4 linked regions of the Caenorhabditis elegans genome follow. The protein of the gene in region 2 purifies or fractionates together with the protein of the main gene of each other region. This does not show direct contact. Each region holds a gene or a part of one and is shown on either strand. Other genes may lie near its edges. The genes, in order: Y23H5B.8, gtnt-9, lpd-3 and wdfy-2.

The links.
Region 1: the proteins of gtnt-9 (region 2) and Y23H5B.8 fractionate together in Caenorhabditis elegans (co-fractionation; one large-scale study listed by BioGRID). This does not show direct contact.
Region 3: the proteins of gtnt-9 (region 2) and lpd-3 fractionate together in Caenorhabditis elegans (co-fractionation; one large-scale study listed by BioGRID). This does not show direct contact.
Region 4: the proteins of gtnt-9 (region 2) and wdfy-2 fractionate together in Caenorhabditis elegans (co-fractionation; one large-scale study listed by BioGRID). This does not show direct contact.

The regions. Positions count from the first base shown.
Region 1 is NC_003279.8:2,544,591-2,552,181, forward strand, and holds Y23H5B.8 (T20D4.11-like domain-containing protein), read right to left. Parts: upstream 3,810-7,591; 5' UTR 3,738-3,809; coding exon 3,531-3,737; intron 2,743-3,530; coding exon 2,614-2,742; intron 2,565-2,613; coding exon 2,376-2,564; 3' UTR 1,796-2,375; downstream 1-1,795. Other genes in the region: Y23H5B.3 (T20D4.11-like domain-containing protein), read left to right, coding at 183-377, 1,045-1,170, 1,217-1,273, 1,351-1,563; nspd-8 (Nematode Specific Peptide family, group D), read right to left, coding at 6,785-7,000.
Region 2 is NC_003280.10:3,843,092-3,850,522, reverse strand, and holds gtnt-9 (Glycosyltransferase family 92 protein), read right to left. Parts: upstream 4,196-7,431; coding exon 3,995-4,195; intron 3,947-3,994; coding exon 3,858-3,946; intron 3,817-3,857; coding exon 3,632-3,816; intron 3,486-3,631; coding exon 3,388-3,485; intron 3,322-3,387; coding exon 3,169-3,321; intron 3,120-3,168; coding exon 2,916-3,119; intron 2,872-2,915; coding exon 2,687-2,871; intron 2,644-2,686; coding exon 2,478-2,643; 3' UTR 2,380-2,477; downstream 1-2,379. Other genes in the region: nhr-72 (Nuclear receptor domain-containing protein), read left to right, coding at 84-99, 163-306, 355-417, 461-654, 727-953, 1,000-1,201, 1,252-1,326, 1,374-1,427; C17A2.3 (N-acetylgalactosaminide beta-1,3-galactosyltransferase), read right to left, coding at 5,014-5,145, 5,189-5,446, 5,501-5,930, 6,642-6,704, 6,751-6,914; C17A2.7 (Methyltransferase FkbM domain-containing protein), read left to right, coding at 7,118-7,306.
Region 3 is NC_003279.8:3,596,667-3,604,987, reverse strand, and holds the start of lpd-3 (Bridge-like lipid transfer protein family member 1 C-terminal domain-containing protein), read left to right. Parts: upstream 1-4,258; 5' UTR 4,259-4,310; coding exon 4,311-4,480; intron 4,481-5,031; coding exon 5,032-5,223; intron 5,224-6,013; coding exon 6,014-6,178; intron 6,179-6,225; coding exon 6,226-6,368; intron 6,369-7,481; coding exon 7,482-7,688; intron 7,689-8,321. Other genes in the region: mis-12 (uncharacterized protein), read left to right, coding at 160-309; Y47G6A.31 (RING-type domain-containing protein), read right to left, coding at 561-864, 1,234-1,444, 1,522-1,564; Y47G6A.3 (uncharacterized protein), read right to left, coding at 2,130-2,297, 2,345-2,490, 2,616-2,703, 2,750-2,840, 2,916-2,973, 3,584-3,659.
Region 4 is NC_003280.10:9,316,952-9,324,640, forward strand, and holds wdfy-2 (WD repeat and FYVE domain-containing protein 2), read left to right. Parts: upstream 1-2,913; 5' UTR 2,914-2,926; coding exon 2,927-2,990; intron 2,991-3,061; coding exon 3,062-3,263; intron 3,264-3,318; coding exon 3,319-3,665; intron 3,666-3,836; coding exon 3,837-3,954; intron 3,955-4,074; coding exon 4,075-4,434; intron 4,435-4,480; coding exon 4,481-4,637; 3' UTR 4,638-4,927; downstream 4,928-7,689. Other genes in the region: csa-1 (WD_REPEATS_REGION domain-containing protein), read right to left, coding at 737-814, 866-1,166, 1,222-1,413, 1,642-1,875, 1,920-2,006, 2,051-2,197, 2,478-2,521; Ras-related protein rab-39, read right to left, coding at 5,117-5,260, 5,310-5,423, 5,474-5,663, 5,717-5,958; egli-1 (Transmembrane protein 41 homolog), read left to right, coding at 7,009-7,689. UniProt on the Caenorhabditis elegans protein: Plays a role in coelomocyte endocytosis.

The sequences.
Region 1 (7,591 bases), on a different chromosome or scaffold from region 2:
TCAAAATATTCAAATAACAAGTTCATTCAGAAACAAAAGAACAAAAATTGAATTGACCAAATATATTTAGTTTAGCCATTCGCTGTGCGGCAGATCAACGAACTAATTCTATTGATCCTCACTTCTCTTTCGGACGGTTTTCTGTTCTTTTTCGTGTCATTCAATTTTCCCCCTCTCTTCCCATGAGTCTCACCCATTTTCTATTCGTTTTTGTTTCCTTTTCGATTGCATTTTCTGATGATTGTGATGGACATTACGATCTGGAGTACGGATGCAATAAACTTTCGTTGGATTTGATTCGAGACTGGATTTCGAATAAGCCGTTGCCCTCAGTCAAAGCAGCGCAGTCCCTGTATTCAGATTGCAGGAGAGCGTTGGTAAGTTTTGTGGGTGCAAATGCGCTCTACTGAAATTAGTGGGTGTTGTGCGGTAGAGCTTCGGATCAGAGGTGTATGGACCCCCAAAAAACTAATTATTTAAATTTGAAAAAATGAAAAAAAAATTATGTGGGTCAGCAGGGTGGTGGCGTTCTTATAAGTTTTCTTGATTTTTTTTCGCGGTAGATCCCTTGTTTTGTAGAGAAAAAATTTCTGGAAAAAAGATTCAGAGATCCCAGCAATATTTTCGACTCCAAAAAAAACCACCGAAATTTCACAAAACTTCAGTAAAATCCTTTCTAGAAATAATTGAATTTTTCTTTTAAAAAAACTGAACGCACAAATTTCGGATATAACTCCCATTTCACGTGGTGTCAGACTGTCCCATTTCGATTTGATCTACGTAGATCTACAAAAAATGCGGGAGAAGAGAGGCAGAGTTTTCAACTGATTTCGCATGGTTAAGAACGTGCTGACGTCACGTTTTTCTGGGCGTAAAATTCCCGCATTTTTGTTGGTCAAACTGTAATGGGACAGCCTGACACCACGTGTCATTTGATATTTGCATATTTTTTTATCAAGCTTTCAATCAATTGTATTATAGTTGAGAATTTTTAATTTTTCCAATTAGTTGTAATCAAATAAACCAATAAAATCAATATTCCAGAGCTGTACAAAATCTCTAAACTGCGACAAAAAAGACAACGAAATTTCGAAGAAAATCACGGATCTGGACGAACTTTGTAATGGAATTGGCGCATTTGGATCATGGTTTGGATATTGTATTCCAAAGGTATTCCAAAAAGACTAAAAGAGACAAAAACTGAAAAAAAATTCAGATTCAAAATGCCATCACATTAATGGAGTGGCCGTGCTTAAGCCATTGGAATAATGCGGTAAGATTTCTTTTTTACATAAGTTTGAATTTTGCGTGCTGTGGAGCGCATTTGCATTACAAATATATGATTTTTAGGCACAACTTCCAACATGCGAGTATTTCGAGGCTGACAATGAATGCAAGACAATGCCAATAGAAAATATATGCGGCCCCCGTGCCGTCAAAGAAATGCTGGATAATGAGAATTTTATTCGTGAATATTTTGGATGCAACAGGATCTACAAGCCTTCAAATAATTCTAGTAATAGCTTGAAAATCAAAATTTCAGGTAATCCTAATTCGAAATGAAGATGTTTGAAGAATGAAGGCAATTTTGAAACTTTTATATAATGCAATTTTGTGCTATCAACTAACTAAATGTTGACCAGATGACAACTTTTTCCTACTTCTCAACATTTTAGAGATAATCTCTGCAAGCATCTCAACAAGTCGGCCGCAGAAAAAAATGACCAATTTTTCATATATCGTTAAAAACAAGCTATCAGCTCACAAACTATCTCAAAATGGATGTATCGCAAATTTTGAATGCACTTTTTATTTAAAACATAAAGATGCACTATTAGCTAGCCCCTACAGTGGGGCTGAGCTCCTTTTGGGGCTGTGGCTGGTCTCCAGCCCCACTTTTTGACGCCGTCTGCGCACTTTCCGATAAATAGAAAAGAAATTAATCGGCGCAGAATGTGCGCAGACGCCTACCTAGTGGCACACAGGGTTTCGTTCGTTTTTCGCATATTGAATTTGTGGAATAAATATATAAATATAATAAATAAATAAATAATAAATAAATAATAAATAACTATAATAAATAACAGAGACAGTTTTATGATAGTTTGTTAGAATTTTAAAAATAAAATAAATCGTTATGGCCAATGTTTTCTTAATGTCCTGGTCATTTATAATTTCAACCAAGATCCCGGAAATCCAAACAAAGGAAATCGATACATCGAAAAATACAGAGAGTCCGCCCATATCCTGAGTTGGGCTTCGTTTCCCGGTTAAAGTTAAAATAAGGTTAAAAAAAACAATGAACACAATATAGGTGCTTTTCATTTGATAAAAAGGGGATCAACCCCCGCGAATCGGAATGTCGTTTGGATACATTATGGCTGATTTTCACAAGTCATCACTTTGACCTTATCCTCATTCTTCAACATATCCTCCCATGCTTCATCTCCGCATTGCTCTTGAACAACCCGTTGAAGCTCTGAAAACTCGTCAGGTGTCAACCAGCACTTTGGTTTATCCTCTCCAATCGTCGTGTTTTTCAGAGTAGTTACGTCGAATTTTGTCTGAAATAAAATGTTCTAGAGGATCTTTTTCGGAGAAGCTTGTAGGTACCTTTTCCATGCATTTACTGAATGGTCCGACTTTTAAGCCCAAGTCTTCACAGGCGGATCTCATGAACATTGTTCCGAATCTCAAAATACTTTTTAGTAGCTCTGGGATTTCCATTGATTCTACGCAGTTCTGAAAACTTTTAATTTTTTAAATATCAAAAAAAAACTAAAAGTGATGTACCAAATTTTGGGCGTGGCCTCTGATGCTCATAATTTTTTTGGGAGCCGTTAAACGGGCGTGGCCTTTCGTTCCGCCCACTTCTTGGTTGTGATCACAGAAGCTCTATCCAGTAGGCTTCCACGCAGGCGCAGAGAAGCCTACCTCGCCCGCCTTGTGGCGACCAAACCATTTTTCCGGAAATTGGTAAATTGGCAGATTGCCGAAAATTTTGGGCAAATTGTGCTTTTGCACAATTTTTTAAAGGAAATTTCAGAATTTCAATTTCAATCGGCAGATTTGTACGTACCTTATAAATTTTCCTACATATATTTTGAAAAGTGAGCAGATTCTATGAAAATATTTAAAGAAAACGGGAAAATTTTCAAAAAAGCACAGTTTTAAGTGTTTCCGTCTTATGAAAAAATCCCTTTAAAAACTTCCGGCAAATCGGCAAACCGGCAATTTGCCAATGTGCTAAATATTCCTTCTCGCCATTGTGTAGAAAAATGTTGAGAGGCCAGAGGCTGAGGCGGGCAGGATGAAGGCAGGCCCTGAAACCGCGCCTGCCTCCCATGGAATTTTTTTTGGCATTATTTGAAACGAATTTAATGTTCACAAACTACATTTGAGAAAAATTGGAAATCGGTGGCCGCAGAATTTCTAGGCCACCTACTACTTTTGCAGAAATTTTTTGTTGAAAATTCAATATTTTTCGAAACTCTATTTTTCAAATTTTTGCTGAAAAAAATAAAACTAACCGTTGTGTCAATGCACATATGATAAAATGTTTCCAAATTACCAATTTTCACATTTTTGCCGTGTTTCGTAGTTTCCAGCTTCAAATTATTCAAAATATTCTTCATTTTGTTGAGCTTCGTGAGACAATTTTCATAGTTTGTTTGTTGCCCGGAGACAATGGAAAAAACGAAGAAAGTCGAGAGAAGGAACAAGAGAATTTTGGCCATTTCGGTGTATAAATATTGAATAATAACAATTGAATAGCAGAAGAAGAAGAAATGACCTATCGAAAGATATATCCCTCGTCTCCGTGAAGATATATCTTCCCGGGAGATAGTCTCTGAAGTCGGGAAAACAAATATTTTGAGGTCAACGGATTCATATTTATTAGGTATAGAAATATCGATTTTTCCAATGGAGAGATGGGGAAAATCGACTTAAATTTTTTTTGTAGTTTTTTATCTGCCATCTATATTTTTTAAAGGGATATGCCAAATTTGTTCAAATTTTTTTCAGAAAAATTCAAAATTTCTGAGCAAAAGTTAGTGGGGAATTAAAATTTGAAACAACGGAATTTGGTGGAAAATTTAAATCTTCTGTGGCAAATATTGGCGGGAATTTCAAATTGTTTGAGTTAATGGGAGGGAATTCAAATTTTCTGAAACAAAAATTTTGGCGAGTAAATTCAATTTTTTTGAACAAAAATTGACGAAAAATTTTAATTTTCTCAGAAATTTTTTTGCGGGAGCTTGAAATCTTTAAAGAAAAACATTTGCGGGTAATTCAAATTTTTGATTTAAAAAAACTTGACGAGAAATTCAAATTTTCTGGGAAACTTTTTTTTTGGCGGAAAAATTGAATTTTCTGAGGAGAAATTAGTGTTGAATTAGAAAAAAAATTTTTAAACAAATTTCTGAAACAGAAATTGGCGGAAAACTTGGTCACACCACATTTTCTTAGGCCATCTGTGACGTCACTCCTCTTCCAGCCGAGATCAACAAGAGACCACTGTAAAAATTATCTAAAATTTTACTTAAAATTTATTTTTCAAAAATATTAAAAAGAAAAAAATTAAAATTAAAAAAATGTCAATGACCGTGCTGACCTTTCTTATCAAATAATCAAATCTCAACTCACGGGACCACAAATCTTGTTCGGCGAAAAATCAATTATTTCGAAATTTCGACTCTTCACAATGAGCTTGGATATGGAGCACCTCCATGGTGCCATGAATTACCGTGAGTTTAGGAAAAGTTGCCGATGGTTGCTGAGCGATCGCCGAGGATGTTGTCGGAGCATTGCCGCTTCTGTTGCCGGCGTGTCTACAAAAATCAATAAGTGTCATAATGGTTGCTGACAATCTTCAATAACTCCGATTTTATTGATTGCCGGTAGTCGCCGGCGGTTGCCGATAGTGGCCGGCAGCAGCCATTACTTGTAACAAATGGATTTTTTTTTCGATTAACGATAGTCACCGCTGACCGCCGGCAATGAAACTCTAATTTTATTGATTACTGATAGTCGCCGGCAATTAACAATAGTTGCCGCTAAGCGCCGATAAATCCAATTTTGCCGGTTCGTAATAGTTAAAGGCAATGGCGACAGTTGCCGGTAATTATCGATTGCCAAAAGTGCCGGAAATATCAATTTATCTCAATTTCCTTGTTTTTCAGTGTGTTTCGCTGCTGCTGCGTCAATTTCTGGAGCGATCATTGCCGTCGGCTGTACCACCGGACATCGTGAGAATTCGCGTGGTGGCAAAGGAAAATCGGCGAGATCAAAGCGATCGAAACGATCAAAACGAGACAAGAAGCAAAACTCGAAGAGACAACAAAACTCGAAACGACAAAAGAAGATTAAGGTGAGTGGAAGAGTTATTTCTCGGCCACTGTAACAACCATCTTTTCAGAGCAATTCTGCCGCTCCGGCACCACCGGCCAAGAGTGGAGTGCCTGCAAAATCGGCGGAGAAGGCAAAGGAAGGATCGCAGAGATCGGCTCGACTCAAGAAGGAGCAGAAGTCCGAGAAGAAGAAGGTTTGTGTAGATTTACGGAGTACAGTGTATATTTACGAAGCTCTTTTGTTTCAGAAGGAGTGATCGCAGAGATCTGCAAGATCGAAGAAGGAGGGATCACAAAGATCGAAGAAAGCGTCTAGCGAGAAGCCAGAAGTCGAGAAGAAGCCGGAAGAGCCGCCAGTCGAGGATGAAGCGAAGACTCCACCAGAGAAGCCGAAGGTTGAGGAACCGGCTCCGGCTCCAGCTCCGGCTCCGGCTCCAGCTGCTGTTGCTCCAGCTCCACCACCGCCAGAGCCAGCCGTCGTTCAACCGGAAAGCCAAGCAGGCGTCGAATCGATCTATTTGGATTCTGGAAAACCGTCGTACGATGCTCAAGTGCAGAACGCTCCGTCCAATATTCAGTCGACTTATCAGAATTTGGGATGATCTCTGACCGTTTCTCTGACAACATCTGAACTTATCCAAATGCCCTGAGAATTATAAAAATAAATGATTGTATTTATTATGTGTTTTTTTTCTTTGATATACGACAAGTGAATGCGCACTCTATTGAAAATGCGCCGCCTCATTCCGCACCGGAGGTATGGCCGAAGTTTGGATTTCTCTTCCATGTCCTCAACAGGAGACTTGGTGGTGAAAGGGAGCCGATTTTATAGGCAGCTTGTGTGAATTTACAGTTGATCTACAGTTTTTTCAGTGTAGTCTTGTAGATTTACGAAAGGGCTTTTAGGGGTTTTGCGTAGTTTTTACCGGGCTATTTAGTAAAATTACGCAGCTGTAAGTAATTTTACGTACAGTCACTGCCATAAAGGTATGGAAAAGCTCAGTTCAAGCTCATTAATAAAACTGTCATAACTCGAAAACTAAAAGATATTACATTTAGAGTACATTTAGAGTACAAGAGTACATTTTCAGCCCTACCTTTTAGTGCGTATTTTATTATTTAATGAAAACTACCATTTATAGGCAAAAATAGATGGATTTTCAAAACTTTGAAAATTCATAAATCTCTTCAAAGTAACTTTTTTTGAAATGTCTTTCAGAAACCTTGTAGTAAATTTTAAGCTCTTTCAGAATATACTAACAATATTTCAGTATCAAGTGCGAGATCTTCGCTCAAAACCAGAGGAAACGTCGCCCTTAACAGCTTTAATTTCGGACCAACAAAAGTAAAAAAAAAACCGGCGGAAATGATACAATTTATTAGCGACTATTTGGTTTTCAATAGGGTTCAATAGAGTCTTCCTATTTTCACACTTATGGTCCAAGGTAGCACGATTGATCGGTGCGAGCCTTGAACACTTGTCCTCCTGGATTGGTGTTTCCTCCGGATCCTTGTTGCTGGTTGTTGTTTGATCCACCATTTCCACCCTGGGCGTAGTCCTCACGGGCGTATCCAGAAGACGACGCATTGGATCCCATGTAGCCGGATCCGTATCCACCGGCTCCCATGTAAGCGGACTTGTCTGCCATTTCTCTCGTCGATTGTAAAGAGTTGAAAACTCGATTTGAATTTTTGACTGATTTGAAGCTCCTTATATAGCCAAAGATTTAGGTTATTTAAAGTTCTTTCGACTTTTCAGGATAACACATCCGAAATTATCGAGAAATAGATCTCTAGACTACAAAAAGTAGACAAATTATCATATTAATTGACTTTTTGGTCTCGCGAAAATTACCGTTTGGACTCAAATTGTCAGAAGCCAAAAATTCAACAAAATTTTCCACATTGTTTACCGAATATTTTACCCTAGACTTCGTGCTTTCTTGGGGCAAAACTCAATTTTTTCAAAACATAAAAACCAATACACATCATTCAGAATATCATAACATTTTCGGGAGAAAAGCAACAACTTCGATTTTATAGTTTTTTCCTGGTCTTTTGATTTTCAACTTTTAAACGTGATTTTATTTTTGGGAAACTGTAATTTTTGAATCACTTACTTTGTCTTGTTTTTTGTTTCAGCTCAAATTTTTTCTAAAAAAACAGGTCGCGAATTTTCAAGAAAAAATCTTTATGTAATTTCCGGCAAATGGAATTGCAATTCCCGGCAAATTGGCATA
Region 2 (7,431 bases):
CCCTTAGATTAAAGTTCTCATGCAATTTTACGGGTAGCAAGTGAGTCGCCGAATTTCACTCATTTTCAATTTGCGCTTCAATAATGAACGTATTTTATGGTGAGCTTTCTAATTCAAATGATATAATTATAACTTGAGTCAAATAAATAAAAACAAATGCAGGTCCATGTCTGGTTTGCAATGATGTCAAAAACACTAGCATGCACTTTGGAGTCAATTCTTGTGCTGCGTGTGCTGCATTTTTCCGAAGGACTACAGAAAATCAATATGCATGTAGTCGAAACAATAACTGTGCAACTTCCTATGGTAAGATTCTGAGTTCTGATTTTCTAGAGATAGTTAACATTATTTCAGAGCGAAAGATTCTATGCCGTGCGTGCCGTTACACCAATTGTCTGAAAGCAGGAATGAGCAGAGGTATGTAGTAAACTACTAGGCTCTAAAATCATGGATATTTAAGGAAACGAAGCATCAAGTCAAAGAAGTATTCCGTCAAGCGGATCTTCAAATTCTTCATCAACTTCAAGATCAAATTCTCCACAGACATACTCTGGATTCAGCAAAATTCTGAAGATTCATCATGAAGATCTGCTGCAATTTTATCTGGAAGAAGTTGAGAAGACAATGAGTCAAAAAAGGAGAAATGTGTCAAAGGTTGGTCAATTTCCGACCAATAAGCAATTTGAACTCCCGCTGAGTATTCAAGCCAAAATTTAAATATTTCAGAACATTCTCCTTGCAAAATCATTCAACGAGCTGATGATAATAACTGCTCATGAACACGGTTCTGCAATGGAAGCATGTATTGACTGTCCGGGGGTAGATCACTTGGAACAGGAAGATCTCAAGGTTTTACTGAAATATGTTCAATTCGCCAATGTATGGATTGACTCTGTTCGTGCTTATTCGGTCTCGGATATAGATTGTTTTAAAGAAGTTTCAGGACGAGATGAGTGGGTATTTAAGCTTAATGATTAAAATATAGAGTTCTTGTTCCAGCAGACTAACTGAATTCCTCCAACAAGTCAAGTCAACTCTGGGCTCCGCATTCGCTGAGTTGAAGCTGAACATCTACGAGTTCGCAGCGTTCAAAGCCTTTTGCATTTGGAAACTGGGATTTTTCTCAACTTCTCGGACAATGAAAACTGTAGCTGAGGATCATTATGATGGAGTCAGTTCAGCATTAAGGAATTATTATAAAGTGAGAATTTTTGTAATGAAATTAATTTTCATTAAATTTATTATTATCAGAATCAACTTAAAATGGACGATTGTGACATAGCAATTCGACTCGGGAATATAACATTGCAAATTGTAACAGTGACGGTATTTAATTTATTTTCAATTCAATTTTATACTTGATATACTTTCAGAACATTTATCACGACTTGATTTGCCTGCATCTGAAGGTTGGCATGCCTATATAAATATTATGTAATTATCTGTAACCAAATAAATTATTGATAATTAAAAATCAATTTCACTGCGACTTAAATCCCATTTGCCCCAAAATACTTGCGTACTTCTTGTTATTATTAATACTTCCAGGAAACTTTAGAGTACTCCTGAAAATTCTGGATTTGTTTAAATCTGTAAATTTAATGGGAAATTCTAGAAAAAATTGGGAACAATTGGGAACTTCAGGATAGGTCGAAAAGCTTCGAGAAATATGTGGAAGATGCAAGAGACTGCTCCAAAAATGAACATATCGCCATCCAACTTGATCAAAGCAATTTCAGCCTTTCAGAGTATCTAAATTATATTTTCGAGGGTTTTTTTTTTGAAAATCGACCATGACACAAATTATTTAGACGAGATGTCTAATAGGGTCACAAAGGTACGGTGAGTAGAGAAGATTCAATAGATATTTATCAGTTTTCGAGTTTTCAATGAATCTACAGTGCAAAAAAATATTCCTGGAATTTCGAAGATCCTTTCCCACTTGCTACTTGCTCGAAAATCACCCTTAGTCGCCCGTTGTTAATTGCTGTTGTAAAGGAATAATAAACATGTTCTGAAAAAAAAAAAAAGTACACAACGGGAGGACGGAATATTGTAGTTTGGTTGCAGTGAAAAGGGAAAAAGATATTGATCTCCGAAAAGACCCGGCGCGTTGACACTATTTTCAGAAGCGATGTGTCGCTTGAATATTAGGTCAGATTGAATAGGTTGCTTTTTAAAATAGTACCATTACTCTGATCTACATACTTATTAGTTTCAGAAAGTTAGCAAAATTTGATGTTTCACCTGAAAATAAACGTTTTTTCAAAACTTTGAACCGCATTTCAAAATTCGATCGTTTTGTGCCATTTTGGGTCTGAAATGTCTCAGATTTCAGTACTCCATCTTTATTTTTTTCTGAAAATTAATTAACCATTATCACTATAGCTTTATGTAATATTAAAATTGTGCCAATGAAAATTGAAAGAAAGTACATGTTAAACGTACAAAAAAATAAAGCCACATAAATTTAAAAATTAAATAATTAGATTCCCGTATACAATTGCAGCAGTATTTACAACATTTTCCGTGAGATTTCCTATATACTTTCTAGGATAGTCAGTATTTCTCAGAGGACCGAATTCCATCACGGTTTTCAACCACTTCTCTCCCCATTCTCCAAGTGATTGGTCACGATAGTGTCTGAAATTGAAAAATATTATAAGTAAAAAATAACAAAAAATACCTGACGAGTCCCTCTTCAGGCTTGAGCTCTTTCTCATAGTACCCATTCCCGGGGAAGAATTCAATTACTAGATGAATTGACATTATGAATACTTTTGTTGAGTCCACAATACATTTGGTTGTGTGTCCAGGACGGGCGATTCCGGTTGAATTGTGCCAGCGGTGAGCCGCCATCCATTGCAGCAGCTGAATCATTATTTTCTAAAAGTTAAGCCTAGCACTATATTCACCTGATCTTTTCCTTCATATTCCTGTGGCATCAGCTCTGTCTTCAATATCCATTGCTGTCTGAACTTCAAGCTACCGATTTTCTCATCGTCCACTTCTCGGATATAGTTCAAGATTGTTCCCGGGTAGTCGGTCATCACTAGACGCTCGTCTAAATCAGCGAAGATTGTCCATTTTGAGTGACCTCGAGACCAGATGTTGCAGTCCTTCAAGCTTTCCAAATTTTTCAGTTTGCGAGACTCCTAAAGTACTTACCACAACTTCATTGATATGCCGATGACGATCAGTTCTCAGACCTTTCTCGAGGAGATAGTGATTCTCGACGATTCCAAGTCCGGCGTAGTAGTCAATAACTTTAGAGTCATAATCCGAAATCTCATGGATGTAGTTATAAAAATGCTCAACACCCTGAAAAAAATTTAATGAGGTATGCACAGAAAAGGTCTGCCTGCGTAGGCCGGAGTGAGGTCTTACCTGTAGTTTGTAGTGTTCAATCATTTCTATAAACATCAACCATTTCGGCTCGTCTCCATAGAGTGGTGCAACGCACATGGACAATTCAAATAAGGGTTCTGAATTTGAGAAATTTTAAATTAGGTGTATTATAAATACTGTAGGAGTATTGTGGGAGTGTAAAATTTATGTAGGGTTACTGTAGGGGTACTGTAGAAATACTGTAGGGGTACTGTAGGATTACTGTAGGGGTACAAAAACCTACTTTTCAACACGCGATAAATTATTGGTAATGGTTTGAAGCTTCCAAACTCCTCTACACTCAACCCAATTTCATAAGTTCCGTCTCGCTTCGGGCAATTTACCACAAACTCCGGATATGAAAAAGTTTCATAGGGACGACCAATTTCTGCGCCATCCTTATCGACGTACCGGCAGTGAACTCGGTAGCTAAAAAACTATGTTGAAAGTTTATATATTTTCAGAATTACCCAATAAATTTCCAGGATGATAGTGTAATTGTGATTTCATGCTCAAATTTATAAGCGTACAGAGTGCTAACTTCTGTGGCGGGTATAGACTGTAATTGAAAATTGAAATATGAAGCTCAAATTTTGAAAAAACTCACCGAGTTTTGATTTTTCATGGAATACCAATCAAATCGATCCATTTCATTTATGCAATATTTAGAATTGTAGTTTTTGGACTTAGGCTCCGTGCAACGTCCGTTTGAATAGTTCTTGTACAAAATTATAATTAGAATAAAAATCATTGAGAGAATTAAAGTACCCGTTCGTTGAACTTTTTTCATTTTGATCGGGATGTCCATGGCAAAGTGAGATTGGCAGGCTTGTGAAGCCTTGTTCCATTTCAATGAAGCCGATAATATCTACAAAATCTCGTGCCGCCCAGGTCTACACGGATGTTGCGCGCTAAAAATTTCTCGGTAAAAATAGAAAAGAGGGACTTCACTTTTTTCTAAAACCATCAAATTTTTCTTTTTGAAAATAAAATTTAATTGTATATATGCATGATACCAAATCAACTGCAAATGTGCAGTTTTGTGGTTTGTCACATTTTAGGGCCTTTAAGCCTAACTGATTAGCCAATTCGTTCCAAATTTCTTAATATGTTTGAATGCTCAACATTTTGTTCTTTTTCAAAAAATTTTGTTTTATTTTGCAATAATTTCTTTACCTGAAACATGTCTCGACTTTCTCTAAATATTGATCTCTATCGAACTCTATAATATCTCCTACAATCTTTTCTCGAAAATAAAAAGAAGCGTGAAAAAGTCCAGCCTGCTGATTAATATCTATTCAGGTTTATTTCTGGATTCGTTAATGAAAAATTCCAGAACACAACAGCATTCAATACGCTGATCAGTTTGCATTTCAACATCTATTTTTTATTAACAAATCCAGAAAAACTTAATAGACTAGTCTTGCATAAACTCGTTAAAGAAAAATTTCAAAATCGACACAACTGAAGTAAACACCAAGGTTTTTGACTGAACAAATGTTAAGTATTTTCAGATTTACATTAGAAGCAACAAAGAGAACAAAAATTTATTTTTGAAAAACTATTTAATAATTAAAACATTATCTTCAAAAATTATCGCTAAAAACTACATCATCTTTAAAAAAATTAATAATTGAAGAAATCTGTAACATTAAATGTTGGTTCTCCGTTTTCTGAATAAAGTGATTTGTCGAGGGATATCATCATTTCCGGAGGAACTCGATGAAGTGTCACAAACTTTTTCGATATGAATGGATACTGAAAAATAATTATTTGAAGGTTTCGGGCCATATCAACCCACTTTCAATGGAAAATAATGCCACTTGGAACCAATAATGGGTATTTCGGCCGGTCTGAATGGCATAAATCGGTTCAACTCCTGATCGTCTCTAGTATCCGAAGGTGTGATTCCAACTGATTCTAGGCATCTTCCCATTCCTCGATCCTCTCCTCTATCGTAAGGACATAGCCTTACGTTGTGGTAGAGTTGTTCCACAAACATTCGCATTGCTGCGTTCGACAAAATGTACCCGGAGCCTCCAGAATTGTAGCCATTGTTCTGGAATGAAAACAACTTTTCAGTTAATTCTGTCCTTTCCTGCAATCAACCTACCATGAAAGGTGCTAATCGATATCCCAAGTATAAAGGTTCTGCTGGATTCAAAGTGTTTAGATACTCCCTTAAATGATCCATTGCCACAAATGTATCATCATCTGTCTTCAGGTACCAATCAAAATGTTTTGAAATGCTGGTATATGAGTAATACAAACTGAATATTGATTTTCGGAACAAATCATCATAGGTATCCCTTAGATTTCGGTAAACTGTAGAATATGCAATGTCAGGGTAAGGAAGATGAGTTTTTGTAAAGAATCGTCCGTGATCACACCTTGGAAGCCACGTGGAGGCAACTGATGGGACACGGTCTTTGTAATATTTTGTAGAAGTTTCAACGAAGCAAAATATCTGGCCGGATGTTGGAAGTGTGAACGTGGCAGGGGAATGTTCGATTCCTTGGATTAGGATTTGAACATCTCGAGTTCTGAAAACATTTTATTAGAAAAAGTACTGTAGGAGTACTGTAGTTTTGGAAACAATGTCTCTTGAGCTTTTGAAAAGTTATATGGGGCTGGTGTGGGACAGTATCGAGATGCTGTAGTGGAGCTGTAGTGTACTGTAATAGTTCTGTAGTTTTGGCAAAACTAGAAGTTTACGGTCAGAGCTTGCCGGGAATAGTACCGAGATACTGTAGAGGAGCTATAGGATTACTGTAATAATACTGTACGCAGTCAACCACTTCGGCTCATCCTCTAGAGTGGTGCAACGCACATTGACAACTCAAATTGTGTCTCTGAATTTGAAAATTTTGAAATTCTAAATGGTGTCGAAGTAATGTAGGGGTACTGTCGGATTACTGAACACAAGTATTATTCAAATGCTGTTAGACAGAATACCGTTTAAACTTTTGAAAAAAAATTATTGCAATTGACATTTATTTCCGATAAATTTAGATTTTATACTGAAAATCAAAGAATTTATTTTACTAGATATCAAAGTTATATCGAACACAAGAAACTCTCCGGACATTTTTTAAAAACTAACGAGATTTTTTATTTCTCAGTACAAAATATAAAAAAATTCGTTGGAATAAAAATTGCCAAAAACAACTCCCTGTAATTTTATTAACATTAGATAAACTAAAAAATACCCCAATAGGATTTTTACTATGATTTGACAGAGGCGAACAACTCACGGAAAGAAGAACTCCTTATATGGTAGAATAGCTGGAGAATATGCATATAACTCTGCTGGTATTCTAAAAAAAATTATTACTGGAATTAGAAAAATTTTTCAAAGCTTACTGAAACTTTCTCCGCTCTGGGAAAGAGATGTAATTGATCAGTGCCACCACAAAAACTGCCAGTAACGCAATCCGATCGATGCGGTCAAAACCGTGTCTTTTTGATAAGAGTTGCTGGGAGAAAATAAAACATCGAGTTTTAAACTTTTGAAGAACTATGTCCATTGTTGAATGCCAGGTGCCGAATTTTAGAAACTTTAATGGCAAATGTTTCGCAGAATTTCTTTGAGTGCTTATCTGGCGATCCTCATCGCCATCCAGATTGAAATCAAAGAAAGAAAAGATTATCTCGTTCCTGAATTTTTGAGGCTGAAGTGTAGCAGATTTGCTATTTAAGTCATTTCCATTTTCATTTAAATTTCACAAAAATGCGGCAAAGCTCAGCTTTAGTTTTTTTCTCGACTATTTTTCTATTTTTTCTGTGTTATATACGGACGCAGTCGAGATTTCAATTCAGTTCCAAAAATCCTGGAATTAAGACAATGGAGGAAAACTATGACGCTTGGCACAGTTGTTTTATGAATAATATTTCACACTTTGAAGGTTATCCAGACGAGGTAAGTAGCTAAAGCTTAGGCTTAGGCTTAGGCTTAGACTTGTCCCTACCTCAACTTCATAGGGATATCCTTTGGTCTGAAATGAAATATTTAACATTGTTTGGTCTTTTTTATAGAATGAAACT
Region 3 (8,321 bases), on a different chromosome or scaffold from region 2:
AAAAAGGCTGCAAGTTGAGTAAAAATGACCGCGACTAGACTGAAAATCGTCAAAAAATTCAAGAAAAATTGCTTAATTTTAGAAACCTGCTAAAATCGCCAGTTTTTGCATCTAACCTTTCCAATTTTCACATAAAAGCTTCAAATTCCAAATGTTCAGCTCCGCATCAAACTGGCAAAACGACATGACGAGCTAGAAGCAGTGAACAATGCTATTGAAGTGCTCCATGTGATGGAGAAGAGCCAAGAGCAGCTTATAAGCCAGAAGAGAATTGTCCCCGATAGCCCAACACGAATGTCTCCAGTTTAACCTTATTTGTTCGAAAATCGATATTTTAAATATTTGATTTCTCTTTATTTTCTTTTTTTTTAATCCTATGCTAATTTTTTTCTTGAGCTCAAATTTGAGTGCTTATGAAGCTACACATTTACCAACTTAAACAACTATATAAAAATAAATTTATTTTTGAGAAAAATCGTGAAAAGGTACATGAAAAATAGCATACAATCATTCCACCGAACATCTTTGTGACCCGTATTTCATCGTCTAGAAACACAAAATCAAATCATTTTGAAATAAATACACAGAACAAAAAGAATAATCACAGCAATTACAAGGATCGAGAGGAAGTACAGAACACGTTTTTTCGACGAAATACACGATTTTTTGTCATCCAAAGTTTTCCCGTCGTCTTTATCAATTTCCAGGCTGATCTCGGAGCCCATGCCGAGCTGCTTGATTTTGTGCTCGTGCTCATCCATATGATTGCACGCACAGCCGAAGCAGAACGTGTGCTCTCCGCTTTCTCGGCGATCTTCCCAATTTGCATAGTTTTGGAGCATGCATGTCGGGCAGTAGTAGACGCTGGAATTAAATTTTGAGAAAAAATTATTTTTTGTTTTTTTTTAAGCTGCGATGTTCCTTTTTTTTTCTTAAAATTTTGTGAGATTTCATGAAAAAATCTTTAATTCTTTTAATTTTTATTACTAGCTACGATTTTAAAGGCGCACACTCGTATTTACAAGCGAGGGTCTCGCAGCGAAATTGTTTAGATTAACAACTGCGATGTGCACCTTGAAGATTACTGTAGATTTTATTGAATTTTCTTTAGATTTTTTCGCATACTTCTTTCTTTTTCGATTTGTAAGTAGTTTTTCTTCTTTTTTTTCATTTTCATAACTTTTAAAACACAATTTTCGAATCAAATTATCGATTATTCTTATAAGAGCTTACCTTGACTCATCATCACAATTGCATTCTGGATTCGCCTTCTTTTTCTCGAAAACGGCTAGAATTTCCACATTTGTCGGGATCTCCTGCGTCATATTTACCGCTTCTCGGCACATCGGACACGTGTCCTGGCTTTTGAGCCAATCAAAAAGGCAAGAGTAGCAGAATGTGTGACCGCAGTTCTCCAATAGTTTTGGCAGGTGCTGGAAGTCATCTGAAAAATTGGAAATTTGAAAAAAAAACTGCGAATTATGGCAGAAAGACTAGACTAGTAGAGAAAAAAATACTTACCAAAATCGAAGAAGCAAATTGAGCATTCGAGGCGGGAGGCCATTTCTAGAGAGACAACACCGCGCAACGGGTGGGGCAAGACTGATGAGAAATACTGCACAGCTGCAATGAGTACATCTGCCATTTGGAGACCACTCTATCGATCGTCTAGGGTCACAGTGCGCGCGTACGCGGTGGTCCCGAACACACAGCTGCTGGTATTTTTTCATTATATTGTCACTTGATGGTACAGAGAGAGAGAAAGGGAATGTTGTATCACTTGTAGCAGAGGTGGACGGGAAACGATTTTTCCGGCAAATCGGTAAATTGCCGGATTTGAAATTTCCGGCAAACCGGAAAATTGTCGGAATTGAACATTTCCGGCAAATCGGCAAATTGCCGGATTTGAAATTTCCGGCAAATCGGCAAATTGCTGGAATTAAAATTTTCCGGCAAACCGGCAAATTGTCGGAATTGAACATTTCCGGCAAACCGACAAATTGCCGGAATTAATCAGATCGGCAATTCGGTAATTCAGCAGTTATCCAACTCCAAAATTGTTCAAAAAATTTAAAAAAATTAAAGAACCAAAATTTATTTCCGACAAGTGTAAAGCATAGTACATTTCCTTATTTCTTCTTCTTCTTTTCCAACTTTCCACTAACTGTACTGGCTTTCGGCGTTTTTGACGCAGAAGACTTTGGCGTTCTTGGCGTTTTGGCGTTTTTCGGCATTTTGGCCTTCTTCGGTGTTTTCGAATTTTTCGAATTTTTCGGAGTTTTTGCGTCTTCCTCTTTCTGAAAAGAAAATCTCTAAATTTCCGGCTCCAACATATCCAGCTCACCTTTTCATTCATTCTATCAATACGTTCTTCTTTCTGTCCTGGGAGTAGATCATTAGCATTATCAAACAGTGCACTGGGCTCTTTGAGCAACTTCCAAATGTCATCAAGCATTGAAGTTCCCCGTGGAATTGTACGCGAGAGGGACACTGAAAATTTGGAGAAATGTTAATTTTTCTCTAACTTGTATCGCTTCTTCTCGAGGTCACGGCCTCGCCCCAAAAATAGACGGAACTTCGCTGCGAGACCCAAACAAATTTTTGCGAATACTAACTTTTAAGCTTCGGGTGCAAATCCCTTCCGGCCATCTCGTCCACCGCGATTTTCAGTTTTTCAGCAATTTGACGAAGTCTCAAATCATACTGAAAATCATGAATTTTTGTATGGGTTCTAGCTCTGAACACTTACCCTTCCAAAGATTAGGTAAAAATTGAAGAGGGCAAAGATAAGATTGAACAATGAAATTGTCATGTTGAAAATGCCTCCAATTGCCAAAATGCTAAAAAGATTTTAATTATTTAATTAATTAATTAAATTTAGTTTCTAGCAACAAAATCTAAGAAGAAAATCTCACTTAAATCGATATGCCATTGAATATTCCGTCACATTAATCGAGAAGGCTTGCATTTTTGCTAAAAGAGAGCTTGATTAATGTTTTGGAATGTTGGCACCGGAATTTGAAATTCTACGATTTTTGCCCTAAAATTACGGTACGCGGTCTCGAAACGAAAAGTTGAAAGAGTACTGTAATTCCTCTGCAGCATTTTCATCAAATTTTACACGATTTTTTCGATTAAAAATCAATAAAAATACCACAGCAACAAAGTACCGGAAATTACTGTATTACGTACATAGTCACGCGGTACCAGGCTGTCCCGTTACGGTTTGATCTACAAAAAATGCGGGATTTTTTATGCCCAAAATTATGTGGCTTCAGCACGTTCTTGACCATACGAAATCAGTTGAGAACTCTGCGTCTCTTCTCCCGCATTTTCTGTAGATCTACGTAGATCAAGACACTCTGACACCACGTGCGTAGTCGAAAATCAGCCACACTGGACGCACAAGGTCCTACGACGAATATATAACTACGCTGCGAGACCTTGCTTGGCGAAATTTCTCATTTTTTGACGACTATGTAATAAGCTTTTACATGGAAAGCAAAGTAAACTGAATACCGTATTAAGAAGGCGATCGCAAATCTCCTTAATTCAAGAATTTTGCAATTAAATTCAAATTTACCATTTCCGGGAACAATGAAGCCAAGTTGAATGATGACTAGGATTTGTGCACACTTGATTATGTTGCGATCGATCATACTTCACTCACTTCTTGAAGAATTCAATAACAAGAACTGAATAATTTCATTGAAATTTGGGGAAAAACCGAAAGTGGAACACGTTTTTCCAGAAAAATTGTTGAGTTTAGAAGGTCACGGAGAACTGAATCGATAAATTTTTTAAATTTAACGTTTTATTTATTGAGTATTTTTGTTTATCTCCATTAAAATTCACTTTTTGCTCTTAAAATAATCTTTAAAAAATGCACAAAACCTGTGTGAAAGTTGAAAATTGACTAATTTTCGCACTTTTTCAATTGTTTTAACAAAAATAATATCGATTTTCAGATAAAACAAATAATTGTCTATATTTTATCATTTAATTTCACTTCAAAACATTGGGAAAACAATCTAAACTGACTCTTTTTGTAAAATTACTGATTTGAATCCCCGCCAATTGGAAAAGTGCGATGGGGCGCGTTTTCCTCCCATTTTCAGCAGTGTTGATTTTTGTTTATTTTTCATTTTTTATGCTGATAATGTTGTTATTTTATTATTTTTTCGCGAATTTTAATGTTTTTCTGCTATTTTTCTCCGCATTTTCTCCCAAAAAAAAAAATGTGTTTTTCATTTTTCAGTTAATGTCAGTCGGCTACTACGGGTTCTAGGCGGCGGCGAAAACGAAAAAAAATGTCGGATTTCGATATTCAAATCAAAATCGACGATGCTCAGCTCGATTTAAAAGGAGTTTCATTCTGGGTCACGGCTTCTGTCGTCACACTTTTCCTGGCGTGGAGCACGTTTGTCGTATTGTTTTTCTCGCGAGTCAGCGCACTCTTTTTCACTTTTGTTATAGATAAGTGAGTAAAACTGAAGGTTTTTTGCTTGAAAATGGATTAATTTCGCAAGGAGACTTCTTAGAAATTGCTCAATAAATTTTTATGGCGATTTAAAATTTCGAAAGTTGAAAAAATTGGCTAATTTTAGCTAAAACTCTCCAATTTCGCAAGTTTTCCGTTTCCCAGCGGTCGGAAATTAATTTTTATTCGATTATTCTCCTCTTTGATCGCTTATTTCTCGTTATTCGTTGATTTAGGTACATTTTAAGCTTTAATTATACCTAAATCAACGAAATAACATGAGATAAGCATCCAAAGAGTATAATAATCGAATAAAAATTAATTTCCGGCCACTGAGAAACGGAAAAACTTGCGAAATTTTAGCTAAAAAGATTTTTGCTAAAATCAGGTTTTTTTCCAAAATTTTGAAATTTTGAACCGCCATAAAATATTAAGATATTTTTGATGCAATTTTTAAGAAGTTTTATTGCGAAATTAATTTATTTGGGCACTATAAAAGAAAAATCCAACAAAACTGGCGGTAAAAATCGAAAAAAAAAATCATTTTTCAGATATTTGCGATTATCAAAAAATGGAATCCATTTCAAAATCGGTGGTATTTCGATCTCAGGCTTGCACGCCGGCAAAATAATGTTTCGAAACGTAATTTATGATAATGGAGATATGACGATCAAAGTTAACGATGGACATTTATTATTCAAATATTGGAAATCTGTGGAACATCGACATTTGAATCTTTCAACGTTCGTTATTCCCCTAGATTTTGCGATTTTACAACGAAAAAGTCGATTTTTTCGAAAAAACTACGGTTCCTCGACACGACAAATTTTGGCTAAATGCCGAAAGGTGTGTGCCTATAAAGGGTACTGTAATTTCAATTTTATCGACTTTTTATAGTTTTTTAGTTATTACAATTATTATTAATTTGAAAAAACCAACAACAAAAAAATCGTGAAAAAAACTATTTACGAAGACATCTAAAGGTGAGAATTTTCGCCATATCTTACGCTAATGGGTCTCGCCACGCTGAAAACGAGTTACTGTAGCTTGGGTCGATTCATGGTCCGATAATGCATAATATTTTCAATTTAGTTTGATGAATATTATTCAATAGCGGCCCATAAAGCTACAGTAGCCAATTTTCAGCGTGGCGAGACCCATTCTCGTATGATATGGCGAAAAACTCATCTGTAGATGTCTCCGTAATAGTTTTTCTCACGATTTGTTGAAATTTATGTATTTTTATCGATTTCTTATGTTTTCTAAAAATAAATCATAAATTTTTATCGAAAAACTATGAAAAATCTATGAAAATTCCACGAAATTGAAGTTACAGTAATCTTTAAAGGCGCACACCTTTTCGCATTCAGCCAAAATTTGTCGTGTCGAGACCGGGCGCAAAAGTGGCAGAATTTATTTGTTAAAAATTTGCAAAAAATGCCAAAACTTTCTCAAATTTTGTTTTCAAAAATTTTATTTTTTTTTTGCAAAAAAATCCAATTTTTCGCTAAAAAAAATCCTATAAAATTCCAGAAAACGAGCTTCCCGATTACATCTTGTGCTCAACGGATTACACGTTAATATCTACAATAATCTGACAAAATACACGGAAATCGCGAGAATTCGGAGATTTGATTGGTTTTTCGAGAATACGAATATGAACGATGCACGGCGGCCTCAGACGAAGCCTCCTGACACGTAATATTATCGAATTTTCGTGCAGATATTTCTAAGCCAATGTTCAGTTGTAGATCACCTCCGTCGTCTGTATGGGAGAATATGTGGAATCTATTGGGTATTGTACATATTGAAGTGTCTGCTGGATGCATTCTTGTCGGAAATAAATTCCTACCCTATGCTCTATGGACACGATTTGAGAATTTGAATAGTGAGGTTTTAAAAAAATAATTTAAAAAAAAACTACGATACCCGGTCTCGAAACGAAAAATTCCTTGAAATGCGAAAAGGTGTGCGCCTTTAACGAGTACGGAAAACACCGAATTTCGTAATGAGAAGTTCTGAAAATTTCTCAAAAAAAAGTTATGGCGGCTCAAAAAATGGCCTAAAATTAGTTAAAATTTGAAATTTGACCTACTTGTCAAGCGGCTAGAAACTAACTTTTTTGAAATCACCGTCAAATTTTGAGTATACAATGTAATTATCCTGCGTTTTCAACTCAATTTAGGTATTTTAAAGTCGATGGACGGCGAGATTTTCAATTTTTTTAACCACATCTCGCGGTCCATCGTATTTAAAATACCTAAATCGAGTTGAAAAACCAAGATAATTGACGTGAATACTCAAAATTTGACGGTGATTTCAAAAAAAAAATTAGTTTCCAGCCGCTTGACAAGTCGGTCAAATTTCAAATTTTAACTAATTTTAGGCCATATTTTGAGCCGTCATAACCTTTTCTTGAGAAGTTTTCAAAAAGTTTCATTATGAAATTCGGTGTTTTCGGGCTATTTTAAGTCTAATAATGCAATTAAAAATTCGACCACACCAGCTGTAAATAGTCAAAATTCGAATTTTATTATACAGGCCCGAAATTTTGCTCCGAAACTACGATACGATACTGGGTCTCGAAACGAAAAATAATTCTTGTAAAATGCGAAAAGGTGTGCGCCTTTAACGAGTTCTGTAGTTTTAATTTCGCAGAATTTTTTAAAACGATTTTCATTTTTTTTTTACTGCAAACATTAAAAAAAAAACTCGAATGATGAATTAAAATTGAAAAAAAAAATTCTGAAAATTCAATTATGAAAAATGTGCAAAATTAGCCAAAAAGTCGTGAAATTTTTTTGATATCCTTAGTTTTCTCGCAAAAAGGTGTTTTAAGAGTTGAAAATAGATCCTAAACATAAAGAAAACCCACAAAAATTGCAAAATGACCCGAAAAAATGATTTTCAACAGGTTAAAAAATTTTAAAGCTACATTTTGACCTTTATAAACCGTCAAACGAATGAGTAAAAAACATTTATTTAAAAAAATAATTTTGAGGCAAAACGAGTGTAACAGAATCGGCCAACGATCGAGCTCTACTCACATTTGAAGGAGAAACGGAAAATGTCGCTGTATCACTTATCAAAAATGAGCAATTCGATTTCACAGCAAAAGATAAAGATCCGCCGAGAACAATGGGAAATGATGGATGTCCATTGTTACAGTCAGCGTCGTTGGAATTTGTATATAAACAGGATTTATTAGGTTGGAATTAGATGGAAATAAATGGAAATTGAAAATTGGAAAAACGATTGGAAAAAACGAAATTTTTCTGGAAACTCTGAAAAATTGAATATCTTAAAGGATTTTTCATGGATCCTCTAGATTTCAAAAAATTTAGATTTTTTGGGGATTCTGTTTTAAAAAATATTTTTAAAAAAGACAGAAGTGACCGAATATAAATTTTTTTTTTCAGTGTTTAGTTTTGCAAAAAATTTCGAACAACTGGCTTAAAAGATATTTGCTTCAACTCTGAAATTAGACTAAAAATCATATAATTTAATATTAATTTTAGCTTTTCTTCAAGGAAAAATTTCTGAAAATGAATGATTTCTCAATTTTTTCGCATTTTCAGAATTTTTTCCTTTACTTGACGAAAAGCTAAAATTAATATTAAGTTATATGATTTTTAGTATAATTTCAGAGTTGAAGAGCAAATATCTTTTAAGCCAATTGTTCGAAATTTTTTGCAAAATTAAAAACTGAAAAAAAATCTCTTTCTTCTAAAACTGGCTAAAACTAGACAAAAAGTGCGCGAAAATCTGTTTTTTTTTTGCCGAAAAAAAACGAGGCTTTTCAATTCGAAAAATCGATTATTAAAAAAAAAACAGAAAAAAA
Region 4 (7,689 bases), 5.5 Mb from region 2:
TATGAGTCTCAGGCGTGTGTCTTCTCCTGTTTCGCTTTTGTTAACATTACGTAACAGGAGCACACAATTAGAGCATATGTGCAATTATGTTCACACCTTTTATATCGTATAAAACAATGGTGTCGAGTGAATAGAACACGGGGACAGGTCACCTTGATGTACTTAAATGGACTAGAAAATATTGGTTCGCATTGTTTTCAAACAAGAAATCAGGTATCTTGTCAAAAAAAAGTTCTAAACAAAATAAATAATCTATCCAAAAATATATTTCATAAGCTACAATATTCTAGAGTGATACATTGTACATTACTGAACTTTCTCCAATTACAGCAAAACTTCAATGCTTCTTGCCTGCCTGCCTAGAAGCCTACCTACGACCTATTGTTTGAATTTTGGCGTGAATTATGTTGTTTGTTGTTTGCACTGTTTAGTTTTATGTTGCTTGAACTCATTTAAGTTTCGAACATTGAATTCAAACGTGAAAAATGTTTTTGTGTAGTTATGAAGTAGGCACAAATTAGACGTAGGCCACCTTGAAGGCAGGCGCGAGCTTTTGTGCCTACATCTGATGTTTACTAGATTAATTTTGAAGTGCTTGAGTGACAATTTTAGAAAATATTCATTCATGTGCATATGCATCTTTAAAAATCGTATTAAAACTCGTAAAAAATTTTGCGACCAGAAAATAAAAATTAAAGAATTTTATAAAATGTGTTTTCTTTTTGGTTGCGACCTGCTATACTTCGTCTTGATCTTTGGTTGATCTGTCAAGGGATAAAATATTCAGATGATTGTAGTTGAAGCCTGTGATTATCTGAAACAAAAATCACCCAGTTTCATTCTTGAACAACTTTCAGTATCCTACCTCATAGCTTGATTTTCGAAAAATGAAGGGCTTATCCCACAACACTTTTGCTTCAACTTCTCGAAAATCTGGATTTCTTCTTGATTTATCATTATCAGAAAACCGAATGATCGTCAGTTTTTCAAAATTCGTTGCCACATAAAAATCCTTCTCATATATAAATTCCAAATTTGGACGACGCTGCATAAGTGGATCGAATTCACAGGAAAAATCAAATTTTGTGCTGAAATCCCACGTATCTGCCACATGAATGTACCCCGATCTATCGGCAGAGATGAGACGATGTCCATCGGCAGATATTCTGGAATTTATGAGATTTAGAATACCTTCAATTTAAAGTTTTGAAAATAAAGTACTTTAGTCCATAAATTTGTGATTTGTGAAGAGATTTCTCAGCAATTGCTCCACGTGTGCTCCGAATATCAAATAGTCCAATTGTTCCATCTCGTCGTCCTGCATATAAGTAATGATGTTTTGATGGATACCACTGTACAACATCAATTGGTTCATCATTCCAATATATCGATTGAGGTAGATCCATTCCGACTCTGAAATGATATTTATTTTGAAATATAAAATGTTAATTAATTTTAATTAAATTTTAAATTTTGAAATAATTCATAAAAATTTAAGACAAGAGGTTCGACCAGGGGAAATTGTAAGACCAAAGTTTTAGAAAGTTAGGCAGTCATAACAAAATATAGCTCTTGTTCAATACAAGATCCACTAGCCTTCAGGCACGTAGGCAGGCATTTCGTGGAACTTTTAAAGCTTACCTAAAATCTATAATTTTCATTGATCTCCCTCCATCTGCCACGGCAACTTTTGAATTTGTCATATTATACTCATTCCAATCAAAATAAACATCTCCTTCAAATTGTTTCCCATGAACCACTTTTTCCATGGTACTATCACAAACTCGCATCCAATTTGATGCTGTTGTAACCATGAAAAGGCGAAGATCGATTGGACACCATTTTATTGTTTTCAGAGATTGCTTCGCAAGTTTTCTGAAATCTTGATAAATTTTAGAATTATTGCGGTTGTTACATACAGAGTCATAGGTTTCTTCCACTTTTTACGATCCAAGTATTTATATTTGGCAACTGACACTGAACCACTATGAGATCCAAATAGTAGCCTGAAAAATCAATTTTTTTTAAACAAACTCCTAATTAAACCAACATTTGGTCACCATCATCTATATCAATCGCACTAATATCTTCTTGATGGCCTTTCCCCGTCTGATCACAACCCATAGGAATATGTTTTGTCCATCGAAAATTCAAAAGAGCCCGTGAAACTTGTTGTTCTTCGAAAACTCGGCGTTTTCTGCAAAAAATTTCAAATATAACTCAAATTTTAAAAAAAATTAGTACAGTAAGAAAATCTAGGCCTGTAAATTCATAAAAGTTTAAAGTCGTTGCGGGACCCGTCTGGTTTTCTGACTCTTGCGCCTTGAAAAAATTGCGGTACTGTCATTTATTTTCTTTATTTGCGCATTTTAACATTAAATTTCTCTATTTTTCTCGTTTGTTTTAAATTTTAATTATGCATTTGCACTTTTTTTTCAAAATTATTACGAAATTCACATAAAAACCGCAAAACTCACTTCAAATCACAGCTGAACATGTACTCCTCGTGACGAACAGTCATTTTCCTGTTGAGAAATTATAGAAACATGCGAATAAATATATTACGATTAAATAAAAAGCTCAAACGTTGCTGTTAATTTGAATATCCTCCTTAAAACAGCCAATGGCCTAGAGTCCACCAAACAAGTTCATTCTCGGCCGCACCGGTTTTCCGTTATTTACCGGGCACTGATTCATCTGTTTCCAGACCGGTTGCAAAATTAGTTTGATAAAAATTTCAATTTCCACAAGGAAATATTTAGTTCAGAAATAGTAACAAAAGTAAAAAAGGTGCAGAAGTGTAAACAAACGGGCGAGAACACGTGGTTTTATCGATTTTTGCTTTAAACATCTGCATTCCGTCCTCTAAACTTTATGTGTCATTTATTGGCATTCAATTTGATTTTCTTTCAGATTTTCAGCCATTATGGCTGCAATAATCAATCAACGCGTCGAACAGGGCGAATCAAGTATGGGAGGAGCCAAACCAGGTTGGTGAATTGAAAACGAACCATTTGATTTCCATAACCTGTGTAATTTTCGAATTTATTTTAATTTTCAGCTCTTCTTCACAGAATCACTGGCCACGTGGCTCGTATCAATGACGTCATTTTACTATCAAAAGACGAAGGAGTCTGGACTGCAAGTGATGATAGATCCGTTCGCCTGTACTTAAAAAGAGATAATGATCAATTTTGGCCGTCAATTCATCATTTCATGCCAGTTGCTCCAACAAGTCTTTATTACAGTGAAGAAACTTATAAGTTAGTTTAAAGTTTAAATCGTTTTATTTTTTAAATTTTTAATTTTTTTATTCAGGCTGCTCGTCGGACTTATCAATGGAAATGTCTATGAATTCAGTGTTGCCGATGACTTTAACAGTATGACAGAATCCCGAAAATGGACATGTCACGCTGGACCAATCTCTGGACTCGGCTTTGCACTCTCCTCCGAGCTCATTTTCAGCTGTTCTCGAGATAAATCTATCGTCTGGCATTGTTCAGAAAATTCAAATAAGATGGGAAGTTATCTTTTGGAAAATAGTTGTACAGCAATGGTCATTGATCTTCCATTTGTATTCGTTGGAGATCATGGTGGGCATGTCACTGTTCTTCGTATTGTCGATAATCAACCAAATCTTGTCAGCAAGCTTAGTGCACATACGAGTGAGTTTTTATCGTATTCTTTTTTTTTGAGTAAAATATTAATTCGAAATTTTAAATGCTATCGTGCCTAGGAAAAATATTTGTTAAGTATAACATTCCAGTATTTCCTGAAATTCCCCACAATCAATACAATTAGTAATTGTGGTTTGAATTAGTTCAATGATTTTTCAGATGCAATCACCTCGCTCACATGGGACGGAAATAAGAAAGTTTTGTATTCTGGAAGCAGTGATCATCTCATCATAATGTGGGATATCGGAGGAGGAAGAGGAGAAGCTTATGAGCTTAAGTGAGTGTATATTTCTGGAATTTACGTGATATTTCGAAAGTGTTGATGTTTTTCGAGCGCAAAAGTTGAATTATATTTAGTTGAAATAGATTTTTCCAAATTAAAAAATGTTTTTTTCAGCGGACACAATGGAAAAGTGACAACACTATGCGCAGCTCCAGCAGCCAAACGTCTGTTCTCGGCTGACGAACACGGAAAGCTCATGTGCTGGGACATGAATTGCAAGAGAGTTGAGACTCCTGAATGGAAAACTTCGGATTGCTGTCAGAAATGCAATCAACCGTTCTTCTGGAATCTTCAAGCAATGTGGCAGAGGAAAGTGGTCGGATTGAGACAACATCACTGCAGAACCTGTGGATCAGCAGTCTGTGGATCTTGCTGTGACAACTGGACCACCTATCCACCAATGGGATATGAGACGAAAATTCGCATTTGTAATGACTGCAATGCACGAATGAAAGATAATCCACAGAATTTCAAGTAAGTTGTAAAGCAAATGACTGATGAAACTTATTTTCAATTTTAGCCTTACTCCACTTGCAATTCCACATGAAATCCATACTGGAATCACTGCTATGCATCTCCAGGAAACTCTCGGACTTCTAGTTACCAGTGGACAGAATCGTGTGATTATGATTTGGGATGTTCGAAGTGTTTGCTCTGCCCCTTCTGGATCACAATAAACAATTGCTTCTACTTCTCGAATTTCTCATAATTCTTTGTATTTCATCTAATTTATTTCCTCTCCTTTCTATTTTGTATATTCACTCTCAAAATGCCCATCCTTCCCCAAGACCAATTGTTGTCAAATCAAGACCTTCTAAAACTTACCAATATTTCCCGATACCCCTGACAGGTTGTCCTGAATAGTGATTGTGATTCTTACTTTTCTTCTAATCCCGATAATTTCCTAGTTTTTCGACTGTAAAATTGTATTTTTACAACAAAGTTTGAAAAAAAATCTTTTTTTTTGAAGTTTTTGGACAGAACGACTAGAAATTATTTCAAAAGAATGCATGCCGGGAGAGTAGGTGAGGTTGGTGACACTGGATGAAGGAGAAAGCTCACAGGAAGTACACAAAATAGCTGAGTTTTTGATGTTTATAAGAACGCTACGCGAAATTATGACTACGGGGAAAATTAAAAAATTGAGGAGAAATTATCAACATCCGCAAGCTCCTGCGCTGCTGTTTTGAGGGAAACTTCTTTCGGATAGGCACACGGATTGTGACCTCATAATACCAGTTTTAAGGCCTTCCCAGCCATCCACGGGCCGCAGTTCTCCGTCGTCGACTCGATTTTGAATCTAAAAATTTGAAAATTACATCATAAAATTGAAACATTTTCAAAAAAACCTCTTGTGCAATCATATGAAAAGCTTCATTAACATTGTCTCCTGTTCTCGACGACGTCTCGATAAACTTCATTTTATGGTACTTGGCAAAGTACTCGCCTTCCTCATAGTTTACCTGAAAGCTTTTAACCAATTTTTTAAACACAACTTTTGTTCAAAAATTACCTGTCGCTGTGAATCCATATCACTTTTTGTTCCGACTAATTGGAAGACACACTTCGATGGGCTTGGACCACCCAAATTTAATGCTGCTTCTTTAACCCAATTTTCAACATGCTCAAAACTTTCTCGATTCGTTGTGTCGTAGATTGCAAGGACTCCAACAGAATTCCGATAGTAGGATTTTGTAATTGATCTAAAAATATTTTTTTTAATCAGCTAATATTCTTTTTAAAAAAATCCACATACCTGAATTTTTCCTGTCCTGCTGTATCCCATAGTTGCAATTTAACACGATATCCAGGCCTCAACTCAATCATCCTTGCATAAAAGTCTACTCCGACAGTTGGGTCGCTGATTTCGGCCATTTTTCCTTCTGTGAAGTACCGTAAAAGACTAGATTTGCCAACTGTTGAATCCCCAATAACGATAAGACGATATTGGTAGTGAAAGAGCGGTCCATAGTCGTCACCAATGAAGTTTGTTTCCATTTTGTCTAAAAAATGATATATTGTTGAGCGTTTCCAATAGAGAATGATGCAATTATTATAAGAAAATAAATTTAAAGTTATCCGAGCAACAATTATCAATAAATATTACTTTTTTAAATGAAAACCTTTTTAATTTCAGCAGAAATCTTAGAAATCAGATGATCAATAAATAAAAACGGCTGACTTTTTAAAGGCGCATAGAATTTTCTTGGTGGCGGGTCCCGCACCGAAGAGCCGTTTTCTAAATAATATACACTAATGATTATTTTTATTAAATTTTTTCACGGTTTTCGAGAGTATTCTTTATATAAATTCAATTTTAAAGCATTCTCGTCGAGTTTGAATCCGAAATTATCGATTTTCGTTTTTCTCTGCTTTCTCTACCGCTGTTTTCTCTCCTCCGCTGTCTTCGCAAGATTATAGAGCTCTTTTGAATCAATTTGTTTCATGTTTCCGCTTTTGACGTTATTTTAAACATATACTGATATAAATAAATTAAGAATAGAGTAGAAAATCTAGTTCAAGTAAAGATGCAACATTTCTTTCTGCAAAATTTCTCGAAAACACCTGTTTTCCAAAACTTTTCAATTACACAATTAGAATTTCGGAAAAGTTAACATATATAAGAACATATTATATATATATATATATATATATATATATAGATTAACTCTCACAGTTAAAGAAATCTGAATAGTAATATTGCGAAATAGTTTTGCATAAGTTTGTTTGATTAAATTAAATGTGAAGCACTAACGCTATTGAATCCAGGAAAAACTCGAATTATTTGTTTGATTTTTATTAAACACACTTTGTGAACAATTTTCGGTTAAGAGGCTTTGTTGTAGTAAAAATCCTAAATCTACGATTATCTTCTTAAAATTTGACATACTTCTTACGTATGTTACAGGATAAATCGAGTTTTGATGTATTTCGTAAATAGTTTTTAATCATGTTATCTTTTTATTTCCCATCTCTATGTTTTAATGTTGTCTTTACACTAATTCACCCGTAATGTCCGTGCACAAAAGAATTTAACATTCAGATATTATGGAAACAAAATCATCCCAAACTTCACATCCGTGGCTTGTTCTACTCATTTTCGCCACTTTTGCGGTCTCAATTTTTGCTGTATACAGCAATTTTCCTGAAGTCTCGGCAGATGAGAAGGTTCATTTGAAATATCCCAGGAATCTGGAAGACGCTAAGCAGCTGGGCAGAGTTCTCTCGAAGTACAAGGAGAACAACTATTCAGTAGTTCTGTGCGGTGTAATTGTCGTCTACGTATTTCTACAGTCCTTCGCTATCCCTGGATCTATTTTTCTAACAATTCTATCAGGATACCTGTTTCCATTCTATGTGGCAATTGTGTTGGTGTGCTCCTGCTCTGCAACTGGAGCCGCCATCTGCTACACCATTTCTAAACTTTTTGGACGATCATTTGTTTTGCAAAAGTTTCCCGAAAGAATCGCAAAATGGCAGGATGATCTGAGCAAGCATCGTGATGACTTTCTGAACTATATGATTTTCCTTCGAGTAACTCCAATTGTTCCAAATTGGCTAATCAACATTGCCAGTCCTGTTCTAGATGTTCCACTGGCTCCATTCTTCTGGGGAACATTTCTAGGCGTTGCTCCACCAAGTTTCCTGTATATTCAAGCTGGCTCAACACTGGAACAATTGAGCCATACCAGTGTAGCATGGAGTTGGAGTTCTATCGTTTTACTTACG